Notamacropus eugenii: one gene and its partner. The main gene of each other region encodes a partner of the protein of the gene in region 2 in a complex. Links are inferred from orthologs where the notes say so. Each region holds a gene or a part of one and is shown on either strand. Other genes may lie near its edges.

Evidence for each region. The genes of interacting proteins can lie anywhere in the genome.
Region 1: the proteins of PTPRG (region 2) and contactin-6-like are in contact, whole or in part, in a crystal structure (PDB 5E5U), measured with the Mus musculus proteins. The link is inferred for Notamacropus eugenii from reciprocal best matches to the Homo sapiens genes PTPRG and CNTN6. Residues at the interface, in NP_033007.2 of Mus musculus: Val225, His226, His227, Lys229, Phe288, Thr290, Gln292, Gln293, Asp294, His295, Val296, Lys297, Ser298, Val299, Glu300, Tyr301; in NP_059079.2 of Mus musculus: Arg129, Val132, Arg135, Gln138, Gly139, Val140, Val141, Leu142, Leu143, Cys144, Gly145, Met222, Gly223, Tyr225, Glu226, Pro227, Lys228, Glu230, Leu252, Asn306.

What each region holds. Positions count from the first base shown.
Region 1 is NC_092874.1:445,591,231-445,599,405, reverse strand, and holds the start of contactin-6-like, read left to right. Parts: upstream 1-4,916; coding exon 4,917-4,950; intron 4,951-5,864; coding exon 5,865-5,991; intron 5,992-8,175. UniProt on the Homo sapiens protein: Contactins mediate cell surface interactions during nervous system development. Participates in oligodendrocytes generation by acting as a ligand of NOTCH1.
Region 2 is NC_092874.1:463,240,059-463,247,235, forward strand, and holds the start of PTPRG (receptor-type tyrosine-protein phosphatase gamma), read right to left. Parts: upstream 3,235-7,177; 5' UTR 2,935-3,234; coding exon 2,850-2,934; intron 1-2,849.

The DNA.
Region 1 (8,175 bases), about 18 Mb from region 2:
TATAACAAATCAGAACATGATACACAAACACATACACATATACAAACATGATCTGCTACAATATGTGAGTGACTTCCATATTTCTCTCTCTGAGTGTGGCAGGCATTTTGCCTTGAGATCCTCCATTGGGATTTTTTTTTTTTTTTTGGTAAGAAGTTCTTGTGTTATTACAAAAATCTAAGTCTACCAGAAAAAACTCTCACACACTGTGGTCGTTGCTGTGCATAAAGTTCTCCTGGTTCTGCTCCTTTCACTCAGCATCAGGTCATATAAGTCCTTCCAGGCCTCTCTGAAGTCTTCTTGTTCATCATTTCTTACGGCACAATAGTACTCCATTACATTCATATACCATAATTTATTCAGCCATTCCCCAATTGATGGACATCCCCTTGACTTCCAGTTTTTGGCAACTACATAGAGTGCTGCTATAAATATTTTTGTACATGTGGGACCCTTTCCCATTTTTATGATCTCTTGGGGATATAGTCCTAGTAGCGATATTGCTGGGTCAAAGGGTATGCACATTTTTGTAGCCCTTTGGGCATAGTTCCAAATTGCTCTCCAGAATGGTTGGATGCGCTCACAGCTCCACCAACAATGAATTAGTGTTCCAACTTTCCCACATCCTCTCCAGCATTTATCATTTTCTTGTTCTGTCATGTTTGCCAATCTTATAGGTGTGATGTGGTACCTCAGAGTTGTTTTGATTTGCATCTCTCTAACCAATAGTGATTTAGAGCATTTTTTCATATGATTATAGATAGCCTTAACCTCTTCCTCTGAAAATTGCCTGTTCATATCCTTTGACCATTTATCAATTGGGGAATGACTTGTATGATTATACATTTGGATCAGTTCTCTATATATTCTAGAAATGAGGCCTTTATCCCCAAGCTTAGCTGTAAAAATTCTTTCCCAATTTACTACATCCCTCTGGATTTTGGTTGCATTGGGTTTGGTTGTGCAAAAACTTCTCAGTTTAATGTAATCAAAGTTATCCATTTTGTAGTCTACCTTGTTTTAATGAATAAAAAGCAAATAGAGTCACGATTAATTGTGTGTGCTTTTAATTATGGATGTGCAAGAGTTTATCAGATTTTACTTCAGGATGAAGAGAAATAATGGCTTTTAGTCTTGCCTACTCCTCACTTTTGAACTCAAGTGGGAAAAGTGGACTTCTATCATTTACGTTAAAGAAAAGCATTGAGTGGAGTGTGGTATGGTACACATTATTTTGTTATTTAATAGAGGCTGATTAGATCATCCCTTTTGATTGATAGTAAGAGGGCAAAGAATGCAGGTAGAAACTTTCAGAGTAATTGATTAGTATTTCTGAGTGTGAGTCCTATTGTAGTGTAATCCTATGATTTTCTATGTTTAGTCTTAAATGAATGAATGAAAACAATTTGTCAGTTATCTAAAATGTGTTACTCATTGTTCTAGGTTCTAGGGATACACATCAAAATCATTTGCTCCTTTCCCTGAAAGAGCTTGCATGGGAAATGACTCATGGGTTACAGGAAATAACCCATGTCAAGGATTGTGACCACTATAAAGAGTTTTGATCTGGAGATTCAGGAATAGCATATGGGGTCTTATGACAGTTTATTGCACACCCTTTCCAAAGACATCAATAATACCAATTTGACTGCTCTTTCTGTAGTAAGAATCTGAAAATGGGGTACCCCTGTGATAACAAGGTACATATACATTGGTAGATGGATGTGAAATATGGTCTAAGGCCATTTGGATGTAGCAAATAAGTGATTTTGGCTTAATTTACTTACAAATAGGACAACCAATACCCCACCCCCACTCTCACCCTCTCTATCCCCTCTTTCCTTCTTTCAGGTCTTAATACAAATGCAACCTTACTCCCTTCTCTGGTACCTTTCTCACCCCCTTCTCATATGTTAATAGGGTGTGACACTACTGGATGTCTTAGTTGTCATCAATTCCAAATTCAACCCCTTCCCATTTTATAGATGGAATAATTGATTTGGCCAGGATTGCAATTCTAATAAATGGTATGGCTAGGACATGAATTTGGATTTCCTGATGTCAAATCCAGTATAATGTATGTTCTGAAAGTCTTTTATTCTATTCCCAGAAATACTTATCATAAAAATGTCTACATAGTTAATAATTTACCAAAACGTTTCCAGTGTAATAGACATAGTATTTGAATAGTGTGTTTCCATCTGTGAGTGCAGATGGCCAACTTACATGTGCTCAGAGTACCATTTTTTGTACTGTAAAATAAATCCAAATATAAACCAAGAACTTCCAAAAAATATTCAATAATCCATGTGATGTCTCCAGGATCTTTTTTACCCTTTACCATTAGAATAATAGTAAAAAGTACCTTGAAAACAGTAGATTCCTAAGAATATTTGAAATAACCTGCAACTCTTACTATGATTTTTCTTCATTCTTTCTGTATCTTTGTGTCTTGTCCTCTGTTCTTTTCTCCTCCCCAATGCCAATTTCTTGAGTTTAAATTAAAATCAAATAATTAAATACAAGGTTCTCTATGTGTATTTATGATAATGACATGCCACAGAAGGTTTCAGATGCCTTCCACTATAGAATGTCCCTCATACCTGCTTATTCACATAGATTATAGATACAGTATATTCCCATCAGTATGTACCACAATATAAACTGTTGACGTCAGATACTGATGGCAGGTTGGGAAGCTACCTATTTACATGGCACGTCTTCTGTGTTTTTGACTTTTTATTCTCTCCCACATTTATATTCGAACCAAACTGATGATGGTATTAATAGCTAACATTCACATAATGCCTTGTTTTGCAAGAAGCTCAGAGGGACAATATTAAATGATAAGAAGAAGGCATGAGGGAACTGCACTCAAAATGGAGTTGAGCAGCAGGTTTGGGGGATTTCTTTGAGAATCCTTCTGCACAAATGTCAGTCATGGTCATATGTCTGTTCTGATCATGATACATAAAAGATAACATAGATGTTTTGCAAAGAAATGCTATCCAAACTTGAATAAACAGATTGTATCTCTGCTTTTAAATTGTTTGGATTACAATTCAGTTGGTTGAATTTGGTGACTTTACGTTATCTCATGACATTTGGATGAAGAGGATGAAAAGTCACTGAATATTTCAAATTTGTAAAATGGGAATAATAAAATTACCTACCTCCCAGTGTTGATGTGAAGATCAAATGAGATGATACCTGTAAAGTGCTTCCCGTAGTACCTGGCACAGAGCTGGTGCTTAATGAATTTTTGTTAAAAAATATTCTATCTCCAAGTCCTGTACTCTTGTTCCACACTATGCTACCTAGATGCCTCTGGATAACTTGGAATCTCAGGAATATATGCAAGGGCTTATCAATAAAAAATTAACAAGGCCCATACTTATGTGCCAGCTGATTATGGTGGTCACAGTGAACTCAAGTAAATGACAGAAACTAAAAGAGAAAGTGAAGAGGAAAGGAAAATTGAAATGAACAGAAAGAGAATTAAAATTTCACTGACCTCTGAGAAACTTTTCACAGAGGGCTTCAAAATCCTAACAACCAACTAAAGATTACTGGACTAAACGAATTCTTGGGAACCTCTGATCTACTTGTAAGGCATGCATCTTTAATTAGGTCAGGCCATCAGAGTCAGGTGAAAAATGATGGAAACTAAATTGTAGTTTTGAGAAACCCACAGATTCTTGGAAAGGGGAAATGGGGACTTTGTAAGGATTTGTACATGGACATGTAAAACTCTAATAATAACCTGGCAAGGATTTAGGAAAGCTCAACAAATTTCCTGTGCTTGAGCATCAACAAGTTTTATACTTAACTGGGATTTTGGAGCCCTCTCTCAAGCAAGTGATCACTTGGAAAGTTTTGTGCCTCTGTGATGAACCTATATACATATGTGTGTGCATATATGTGCATATATTTATATACATATTTGTGTGTGTACGTGTATTTGTGTATTTATTTAGTATAAGAGAATGTGGGGCCTTTATTAGTGATGGTCAAGTGGGATAAATTAAGAGAGTAATTAAGCAAACAACTTGGGCTTTATAAAGTTTTAAGGTACATCTTGGTGTGTGTGTGTATGCACATACGTTTGTGTGTCTATATGCATGTCATGTGGAAGCTTTCATTGAGCAAGGAGTTGGATGGGGACTGCGGAATGTGCTTATTATAAACTATTTTTCTTATTTAAATTTAACATATAGTTATAACTACACAAAGGAAACCTAGAATCATCATGGATTCTTTTCTGAAGATAAGAGTTTAACACACTTCTATGCCAATAAAATGATAAATATTATCAGGAAAAAATTTTGGAAACCAAGCACTAAATATTACTCTGTTTTCGCGTAAAGTAATATATCACCTTTTTATTTGCGAATCTGTGTACAATTCTGGTTAGTACATATTGAGGGGAATTTTGGCAATAACAATTAGGTTGTGAGGTCCTTGAGAACAAAAATGATTCTTTGTTATGTTTATGTCTTTGAGGGTAACTAACGGATGACTTATTTGTGGTGGGAATTCAATAAATATTTATGTAATGAATAGGAGAACAAATCTTGTAACAGGGAGATAAGTGCGTTGCTGATAGGTGTGTTGTGAGGCTCAGATGATTAATAAAGTGTAAGGCACTTTCCAACTTAAAAGAGATGTCTAAATGCCAGTTTATTATTATAATTATTATCATTATCATCAATATTTTGTTGCTGTTGTTGCTGTTAGCCTGTAGCTTCCGAACCTTCAGCTAATTTCATTCTCTGAACTTTCTACTAAACTTTTGCAAACTCAAGCAATGTTAATAGAACAATATCCATTGTGATGGTTAATGTTTAACTGATTAAAAAATGAAACCAAGACACTTTTAAGTTTAATCTGTACTAGTAATATATTCTTCTGTGTAGATGATCGATGGGACAATAAATAAAGCTTTAGTTTGTAATAATTAGTGGTTGCTGAGGTATGAAACCTGACTCATGATTGCAGGGTCAAATGAGAGCTAGCTCCCACACAGTGATCCCATGTAGGCTCCCTTTCTTTGACCTTAGTTAAGGAAGAGGAGTCAACAACAAAGAGACCAGAGTTTTAGTCTTCCAGGCCAATCAAATCTGGAAGTGATTTGTCTTTCAGGGAAAGAAAGAACCTAACCCATATCAGAAAGACCCTGGGAAATATTCTTCCTGCTATACTATATAAGAGAAGTAAGGTCTCTTCTGAAACATAAGAATGAGGCTAAGAAGTTAATGTTCAACCTAATGGTATGATGAGAGACCACCAGAATGTATTCACTAAATTCTAAAATACTGAAATGAATATCCTTCTCCAAGGCTGAATGAAGAAATACAAGGAACTACTAATCTCAGTGGACAGAAAAGGGGAAAAATATTTGCTAAAACAATTGGTATAGACTTAAAAGAGAAATGGATTCTAAGTAGTAGTTGATCAATTTTTTTTTTCAGATATAATAGAGTCTCAGAGGGTTATATAAAGAGAAGGAAGGATACCTGGGATTAATATCAGGAATAAAATTTTTCAAGAGTCCTCCATGATACATTCTTTAACGTCATTGTCAGAACACTGTTTCTTGAAATGTGATAGAATCTAACAGGAATTAAATACATCCCATAACGAAGGTGTGATGACACTTATGCTTTCAGTTTGGTTAATTTATGGATTTAATTAAATGTAGACTTTCATCTTGGGAAAATATATTAATCTATTATACTACACAAATGTGTGTTACTTATATAGATACTAGACTGAACCATCTTTTAGTTGCAATGAAAAGTAAAAGGTTATTTTTTTCCCACCTGAGATACTACATTGGTTTTATTTCTTTTTCATTTTTACAGACAATGGTGTTCTTCAGGGACCTAATTTCACCCAAGAGCCACAGGACGTGATATATTCTTTGAATATCAAGAATTCTGAAGTTGTCTTGAATTGTGCAGCCAATGGCTATCCAGTACCAGATTACAGGTGAAGTTCACGTCTTCTTTGTGATGGTCAGTGACAGCTTTTTTGCTTAAATTTGATCATCCCAGAGGAACCTAATATAAAGCTTTATACCTTCTTATTCATGCTAGGCAAATAAGATAAAGGTCTTATTTCATTTTTTTATCTTGGGAATCATGAAGGAAAGATTCAATAATTTTTTTTAATATTTATTTGTAAGGTAGAAATATAACTGTGCCGGAAAAAGTTAACTAATATTTGAATAGCTCACACTATGCCCATGAGTGTTGATGTGGTATACATAGGTCCCAAAACTCTAATATTATTACATTAATTTAAAAAGTATTTTAGGAGAGTCACTTGGCATCCATCATCCTGCCAATGACGAATTCTGCGGAATGGTTCTCTCAGAGTAGCCAGAAGCCCTCACACTTTGGCCAAGGTGATTCTGAGGTTTCTGCCACAGGGGGCATCTTCTTTTTGGCGTCTCCCTGATACTTAGGGGGTCAGAGGGCCCTTCTAAGAGTTCGAGTCCCAGAGCTATCCGCAGCTACTGTCAGAGGGTCCTCCTCAGTCAAATCCAGATCTATGGGCTGGGAGGTTTCCCTTGAGGTCAGCAGTAGTACCTGTGGGCTATTGGAGAGCCCAGGTCCAGAACCCCATGGCCAGGGGGCCACACAGCCTACACACAGCCTTCACAGTCAAGCAATTCACCACTCTGGAGAGCCCCTTTAAACGCCATCACTACTTGGGCTCTGCTTACAGGTGCAAACTGGCAGCAAGATCCAACTGACAGAAATTCAGAATAGCCCTCATGGAACTGAAGCGGCAGCTATAGGATTTGAGCACCCTCCCCCCAGCTTTCTCCTCTACAGTCCTCTACAGCCCTCCCTTTTCCCCTCCCCACCCCACTTCTGCAATCTGCACCATTGCCTCTGCCAGGCGTGCAGGAGGTGTATCCCAGTTCGCCTGTCTGCTAAATAGTTGCCATACCAGGCCTCCTTCCTGAGGGCACTGTGACAACGGAGGTCAGCCCCTCTTTGAGGATGACAGTGGTTCTGAGGAAGAAGGAGAGATAAGTGACTGGACAGGATAGGACGCCTCCAAGAAATGTTATGATGAAAGAGTCCTCTTTCCTCTGGCTTCTGCCACTTTGCAGTTCAACCCAATATGAACTTATATGTATACATTTGCAAATTTTTGTCGAACTATATTATGTATAGATCAATCTATTTATGGAAATATTAAAGAATAAATCAAAGTATTTTAGGAATGAGACTATTTTTATTCTTAACTCTGTCTCAACATCAATTCATAAATTGAATTATTTCACTTTGAAAGCATAAATCTTTTTATAAATTGATAAGAATTAATGGTAGATTTATAGAAGAACAATTTTACCTTTTGAAGATAATATGTCTGAATTGGCATTTGTCTAGATGTTTGAGTAGCCATAGGTAACACCAACTGAATTGTCGGTTTGCTCAATGATTTTTGTTCATGAATTTATTTGAGACTTACTACAATGCATAAAGACTCAGCCTATACACACTATAATTATGAAGCCAAGTGAGTAAAGGTAAAGGTAGGAGAGAGACCAAACATACCCCCACCTTTTGTCCCATATTGACAAACTATTACTTCAAACTGTGTTAAGAATTACTAGAACCTCACATTTGGAGATATTTATCTTAATTTCCTCACAAGAGAGATACTAAAATATGAATGTGATCATTATTTGAAGAAAAATTTGTAAATTATTTTTTTTTCTATAAAGAAATGTTTGGATTGAAAAAAGTCAGGATTTTTGATGATGAGCTGGGATGTCATTACTTTTTAAATCCCTGTGCATCTAGGATCAAAGGCAAAATGCTTCTGTCTTCATTTCCAAATCAAACTAACCTCTGCGACACCATCATTAATATTACCCTAAGAAATACTAATATCTCAACATGGGGAAAGTGACCCCCAAACTATGTAGTGAAACCTAAAATGATAAACTCTAAACAGTGTTTCAGCAACAACAATAAAAACAACACACAGGCAAAAGGACTTTCAGAAAATATATCTTAGCACTCACATGCGAGGATTCATCAAAATTATTTTTCAGTTTCAGACTGTCATGACATAACCTATTCTAACTTTACTTTTGCATTAGACTCAGCTATAATGATTTTTGATTTAATGTTTTATTTTATGGTAAAGAAA
Region 2 (7,177 bases):
GCACCCTGAAATCAACCATGGGACGCTAGGGATACCCAGGACCCATTCATTGTCAGAGGGCAAAATTCCAGGGTAGCTTCAGGGGTGAGATTTTCGGGTGTTCTTTTTTTAAGAGACTCCAGCCCTAAAGGATGAAAAAAGCTCAGCAGAGCCCCTACTGGCCCATTGTCATTATTACACCTTTAGAAAATGGACTACCAGAATTCTCTAAGATTCTGACATTTTTAACTTTCCCAGGCTTCCAGCTCCCATAGCTTCCCTCCAGGGCTTTCCTTTCCAAATCGGCTTCTCTCCCCACCCCACCCCCATCGCCCCGGCAGGCTGATTCCATCCAGGCCAGGGAGAGGGACCAGGGGTGCCTGGCAGTCACCTGGCCAGCAATTGTATCCAGGGACGGAGAAGAGAAATCTGGGCAAAGAAGGGGAAAAGACAGCCCCGTTGAACTGGTATCAACAGTGTTCCCTTTCTGGATTCTGACTTTTCTGACACAGGGAAAATTGAAGACAGAGCAGGCTTGTTTCCTGTCTAATGCATCCCAGAGGTACAGAGAGAGCCAGATGTTTTGTTTCCATTTTCCTACATTTGGCAATATTTCTCAGCCTTTCTCTTACCCCTCCCTATGTTTTCCAATGCCCCACAACCCCTAGGAAACGTGACCTTCCACCATCAAGAAGCGGGAAAAACTACGGGTACAATTCACCCCTTAAGAGAATGGGATGGATAGGGAGGGGGGAGGAAATATGGTTAGAGGTACCTGGAAATGAGAAGAGGGAGCTTTCAGGAGGAAATTCACCACCAGATCAAAGTGTGTGTGTGTGTGTGTGTGTGTGTGTGTGTGTGTGTGTGTGTGTATGTGTGTGTGTGTGTGTGTGTATGTGTGTGTGTGTCTGCTGGGGGGGGGGTGACTAAGGGCCTATGGTTAGGGAAACTGGACCATCATCTATCTGCCTAGACCTAGGGCTGAGACCCCGAATCGGCTACAGGAACCCTGCTGGAGGTGGGCAGGGCACTAATGAGGGGGTACAAAGCAAATCCTCTGGCCATTCAGAAAATGGGGATGCATAAGAGGCTTTCTGTACCCAGAACTAAAAGCTGCCCCCCATCCCTTCTCCCTCTTACACAATGCCTCCTTCCCCAGTAGTGCCCACTGGAGCGGGGGATGATGGGGACGATTGGAAGGGGGTAAGGGAAGACAGTAGGGTCTGCTCAAGGAGGGGCTGGGTGGCTGTGGAGCAGACGGGGCGCCCAGTCCTGGAGCCTGGGGCAGACGCTGGATCGGTGCTCGCTCTCTTTCTCTCCCTCTCTCGGGGGTTCGCTCGGGATTCTGCTTAGAGGAGCACTGCGCCAAAAGCCGGCGCCTCGGCCGCGGGAGGGGGAGCAGAGTCGGGCTGAGGGAGACCGGGCACCGACGGGGAGAGCCGGGGGAGGAGGGGAGGCACCCGGGCTCCGATAACCCCTCACTATGACAGTCCCCCTCTTTCCTCTCCCTCTTCACATCACACACACACACACACACACACACACACACACACACTCACACACACACCCCTCCACCCTCCACCCCAAGCTAGCATAAGGAGCCAATGAGTGGCTTGCAAATCTTGGAGAATGGGGAGGGGGGGCGGTGCAGACAGACTTAAGCCTGTGAACCCCAAAGAGCAAGCGGCCAGAGGCAAACTGCCCTCCTGGCCCCGGGGGAGATTGCACAAAGCAGAGACTCCAGTTCTCTCTCTACCACCTCCACCCCTCCGTGGGGTGCGGCTGGGGCCCTCTTGGTGGGGAGGGGGTAAACCCGACTACCCCCACCCTCGGGCGGGGGATGGTACAGATGGCTTGGGGGGGGAAGGGGAAGCGAGAACAGTCGAGCCTGGGAAGCCCCAGTTGGGGGGCCAGCGTCTCTGGGTTCTGGAGAGCCGCCACTGGGATCGTTTCAAGTTCATGGCTGGGCTCGCCCAGCAGCGACGGCGGAAAGGGCAGTGACTCCCGAGGTTCAGTTAGGAGGCAATAGCGGCGACCCCAGCCCCACACTCCCACCCTCGGGGGTGTACCACCGGGACCTCTCCCCCTTCTCTCCCCACCCCCAAGCCCGAATTAAGAAGATGAACCTCCGCCCCACCCCAGCAGTCTCCCAGCCAGCTGCCCAAGGGAGGCGCGCGGTTAAAAGGGAAGGAGAACTTGGGAGACAAGTGGCCCCAGGCTAGTGCCCGGGTGGAGGGGGGGGGGCCGGGGGCAGCAGAACCTCAAGCCCCCGCCCCTGCTTCCACAGCGACCTTCGCTTCCTTCTTAAGCCCAGCTACTCCGAGGGCCCCCCATCCAGACCATCTCCATTTCCCGACTCTAAGCCTCCAGGATCCAGACGCCTCCCGTTCCCCCAAGCTGCCCGCGACTCTCCCCGCCGGGTCTGCGCCCCCACCTCGGCCCCCAACCAAGGTGCCCAAGCCAGCTTCTGCCTGCTCCTCAAGTCCCGGAGCTCTTGCAGTGGCCGGGTCTCCTGAAAGACAGAGCCGAGACGGGGGCTCGCTCCCTGGCGCAAGCCAACCGGGAGCTGCGGGGGGAGACCAGAGGGCCCCAGCCCCCTCCCCGGCCCTTCGAACCCCAGCTTTCCCAAGAAGCCAGCCTGCCCAGGTGGCGGCGACGGCGGCGGTAGCAGCCCGGCGGCGGGAAGAAGGGAGGGAGGTAGTGGTCAGCGAGCCCGGCCCCCTTTCTCTAGTCTCTGCCAGCCCGGTCGGGCACCGGCACCCCGGCACCCCGATCCCCTCCTCAGCCTGCGGCACCCGGCCAGGCACCGGCAGCCCGAGGTCTCCCAGAACCTTAGCCCTCCCACCCACCCCCAGGTGGCTGCTACTCACCCGGGAAACAAACGACATAATGGAGCACGGAGCTGGTGATTTTCAAGAAAAAGATCCACCAACACGGTTCCAAAAGCCTCCGCATGTCCAAAAACGCACATCGAAAGGGAGGAGGCAGCTGCGATGAACTTGTTAAATAAGTTTCTTCTCTTCCCTTTGCCTTTTTCCCCTCCTTTTCACTTTTCTTCTTCTTTCTTCCACTCCCCCTGTCGCCCCCACCCAAAGTCCTTCCCCCCCACCCCCCAGGAAACAACCAATCACCCCAAATGAAAAGTAACAAGGCAGAGGAAGGCGCCGGGAGCCGGGATGAGGGGTGGGGGCAGAGTCGGGGGCAGGAGAGAGGGAATGCCCCGGGGGCTGGGGGAGGCCGGGAGGCGGCGAGGTCCGAGGGCTAGCCCTAGGGAGCGGGCTCCAGCAGCCCGCCGGCCGGCCGGCCGGCCAGCCAGCAGTGTGAGCCGCAGCTCCGGTAGCTCTCGCTCCGCTCGCTGCCCCAGGCCTAGAGCGGCAGAGCCCGGGCTGGAGAGAGAGCCGAGAGCGAGAGGGAGCGAGGGAGCGGGCACAGACTGGCCTCCTCCGAACTTGGGGCACCGGCGGCGGCCCGAGGCGGCTGGCGAGGCTGGCGAGGCTGCGATTCCGCGTCTGCTTCAGGCAGGCAGCTCCTTCCAGGGCCACGGGAAGGAAGGCATGTTGGCTAAAGGGGAAGGGGAGGGTGGAGAGCCGGGGAGGAGGAGCGGGAGTCCAAGGAGGACCTGCGGCGGCGGCCAAGGAGAAGAGAAAGGGCCGAGCGAACGGCCAAGGGCAGCAGCCCGGGGAGCTCAGGGCGCGGAGCGGGCGAGGGGGGCTCGTTCAGTCCATGCTCCAGAAAGTTGTGGCTTCGCTGAAGGCTGGAGAGGAATGAGCAGAGCTGGGCTGGAAGCTGTCCATTCTTCCATACAGGAAGTAACATGTGAGCTGGGATCCTGGCAGAGACTTTAAAGCGGGAGAGCGAGGGAGAGCGAGCGAGAGGGGAGGGAAGGGAAGGGAAGGGGAGGCGAGGCGGGGGCGCGCAGGCAGAGGGGGCGGCGGGCTGGGCGCGCGCACCCTGCGGTCTTAAAGCAGCCGCGCACTCGGGCAGCCTGGGGAGAGCAGCTCCCCCCGCCCCGCTCCCGTTGGGGATCTCTCGTGCGCGCCGCGCGCACCCCCCCCCCTCCTCCTCCCCTTCCTCCTCCCCGCGCTCTGCCTCTCTACGCGCGCCCGCCGGGGAGACACACACCCATGCACACATGTGAGAGCGGGGCACCCGGCGCTGGCTTCGGGACCCGTCTGGGGGGCGGGGGGCGCAGGCCGAAGGGGGGAGAGGCCAGGGCCGGATCCCAAGGAAAGGACGAACCTGCTCTGCTCGGCTGCCCTCGCCCCAGAAATCGCGCACGCACACACGCACGCACACAGTGCGGGAGCTCTTCTGCCCGCCTCGCACACTCACTACCTGCTCGCGCACAAGCATCTACATTTGGCAAAGAAAAGGAAACAAAACCCCGGCGGCCCCGCGAGTCTCGGGCTGCCTGGGCTTCTTCCTCTGCGCCGAGATGGAAAGGTGGGAGGCAGGACTGGGGAGGGGGACAGCGATCCTTACTCCTCAAGTGCCCCCCCGCACGCTCACGCGCGCACACGCACACACGCGCGCACACACACACACTCACGCACACACGCGCACACCGAATGCGCCCCCCGGCCACCCCTGCCCAGGGTGTGCACAGCTCGCAGAGGGCGCAGCCTGAGAGACCCCCCCTTCCCCTCCCTGTCCGGCTCTCTCGATCGCTCTCCACCCCCACCCCCCGCTCCGATCCCCCTTCAGAGGCCGCGGGGAGATGGCTGCGCGCCTCCAGCCCGGCTGCCAAGAAAGCAGCGCCCGAGGCACGGCTGATTTCCCGTTTGATACCCGCGGAGCGGAGCTGCCGCTGCCTCTTTAGCCCTGGCGTTTAAATAAAAAGCTATCTGGGAGACGCGTTCCGGGGGAAATGGGAATGGGTCTTATCTGTAATGAGTTTCGTTCCTGACTTTCTCCCGCCGGGGAGATGGTATCAAGGTCTCCCTTCGCCTCCTAACCAGGGCTGGCATGGGGGCTGCGGTGGGGAGAGAGGGAGCGGACTGGGGAGGCCGGGATAATTAGCCACTGTAACTGAGCTGAGTGTCATTTGCCATTTTGTGATCGTGAATAGGACGGACTTTTCGAAATAGCATCTTTCTGAAGGCCCTTGTGTCTTCGTTTGTCCCCCTCCTCCTAAGGAGCAGGAGCCCCCTCCCTCTCAACCCCCTCCACTCTAAAAAGCAACAGGATGTTGTTTTTAAAACAATATACAGATGTTCCGAGGCCCTCCACGATATGTGATTAGGAAGCAATTTTCCACCCACGCATGCACAAGGAAAACCTTTGAAAAGTTACATTTGGGATTATAAACTAATAAAAAGTCAGGAAGTTTCCTGCCTTCATCCTTGACATAATGGGGTGAACATCTCCTCAGCCAAGAAGCAGGCTTGATTTTTTTGGGGGGGGGACCTGCTTCCGGGTTTTGTTGGAGATAGGTCACACCCACAAATGCATTCATACATGATTTGGGTAAGGGACCCGGGGACAGTGATCGGGCTTAGAATGAAGCAAGAGGCGTGCCTGTGGGAAATTGCAAAATTCTTTGCATGACTACCCTCCCCCTTCCAGCTTCTCCCTAAAACAAAGGCCCGGCTTACTAACTCCAATACTCTTCCAGTAATATTGCCGGCTTCAAGACTCCCAAGAACTTAAGTTAAGGATCACCTAATGGGGACAATGATGAGGTGCTTGGGGGCATGAGCATATTGCAATACATGACCACATTTTGAAGACAAGGTCTAAAGGATGGCATGAGAGAGATATATGTCTAGGGCATAAGATGGGGAGTTCACAGGCAAGGGGCAAACATCCCTCTTGCTCCATATTTATTAATGAAATGACTTGGGGGCTGAGGGGGGCAGGAGAGACTCACTTTGGGTGGACCACCAGTGGTAAGATTCAGAGAAACAGGCACGCAAAATGGGCTGCAGAATATGAGGGGAATGGACTTGGATGACCACCAAAGTCCTTTCCAGTTCTATGTCTATGAATTCAGGACCAATGGAAGCCAAGACCAATTGTTAAATCACTGGAATTCATACCTACCTAAGTTACATCACCAGTCTCAGAAGTATTCAAGTCATAAGGGATGTTCACATTGCTTAAGGAGTCACCTTTTTTTTAATTTTCTTTTTTGTGACTGTTTTTGGTAAAACAATATTTTATTTTTTCCAATTACATGTAAAAATAGTTTTCAGCATTCATTTTTAATAAGATTTTGAGTTTCAAATTTTTTCTCCCTCCTACCCTCCTTCCCAAGACAGCAATCTGTTACAGGTTATACATGTGCAGTCATGTAAACATATTTCCACATTAGTCATGTTGTGAAAGAAACAGAACAAAAGGTAAAAGACACATATGCACAAAGTGAAAACAGTATGCTTCCATTTGCTTTCAGACTCCATGGTTCCTTCACTGGATGTAGATAGCATTTTCCATCATGAATTTTTTGAAGTTGTCTTGGATCAATGCATTGCTGAGAAGAGCTAAGTCTATCATAGTTGATCATTGTAAATGTTGCTGTAACTGTGTTTAACGTTCTCCTGGTTCTGCTCAATTCACTCAGAATCAGTTCATATAGTGGCATTGCTGGATCAGAGTATCATAGTTCAATTACCCTTTGAATATACTTCCAAATTGCTTTCCAGAAGAGTTGGAACAGTTCACAACTCCACCAACAATTCATTAATGCCCCAATTTTCCCACAATAGGTATGAAGCAGTACCTCAAAGTTATTTTAATTTGCATTTCTCTAAGCAATGGCTATTTAGAGCATTTTTCCACAACTATAAATAGCTCTCATTTCTTCATCTGAAAACTGTCTATTCATATCATTTGACCATTTATCAGTTGGGGAATGATTTGTATTCTTAGAAATTTGACTCAGTTCTCTCTCTCTCTCTCTCTCTCTCTCTCTCTCTCTCTCTCTCTCTCTCTCTCTCTCTCCACACACACACACACACACACACACACACACACACACACGAGAAATGTGGCCTTCATCAGAAACTTGCTGTAAAAATTATTTCCCATATTTCTGCTTTCCTTCTAATCTTGGTTGTGTTGGTTTTACTTATGCAAAATCTTTTTTAAATTAATGTAATCAAAATTACCCATTTTGCATTTCATCATGTTCCCTATCTCTTGTTTGGTCATAAATTCTTTCCTCCTCCATAGTTTTGACAGGTCAACTATTCCTTGC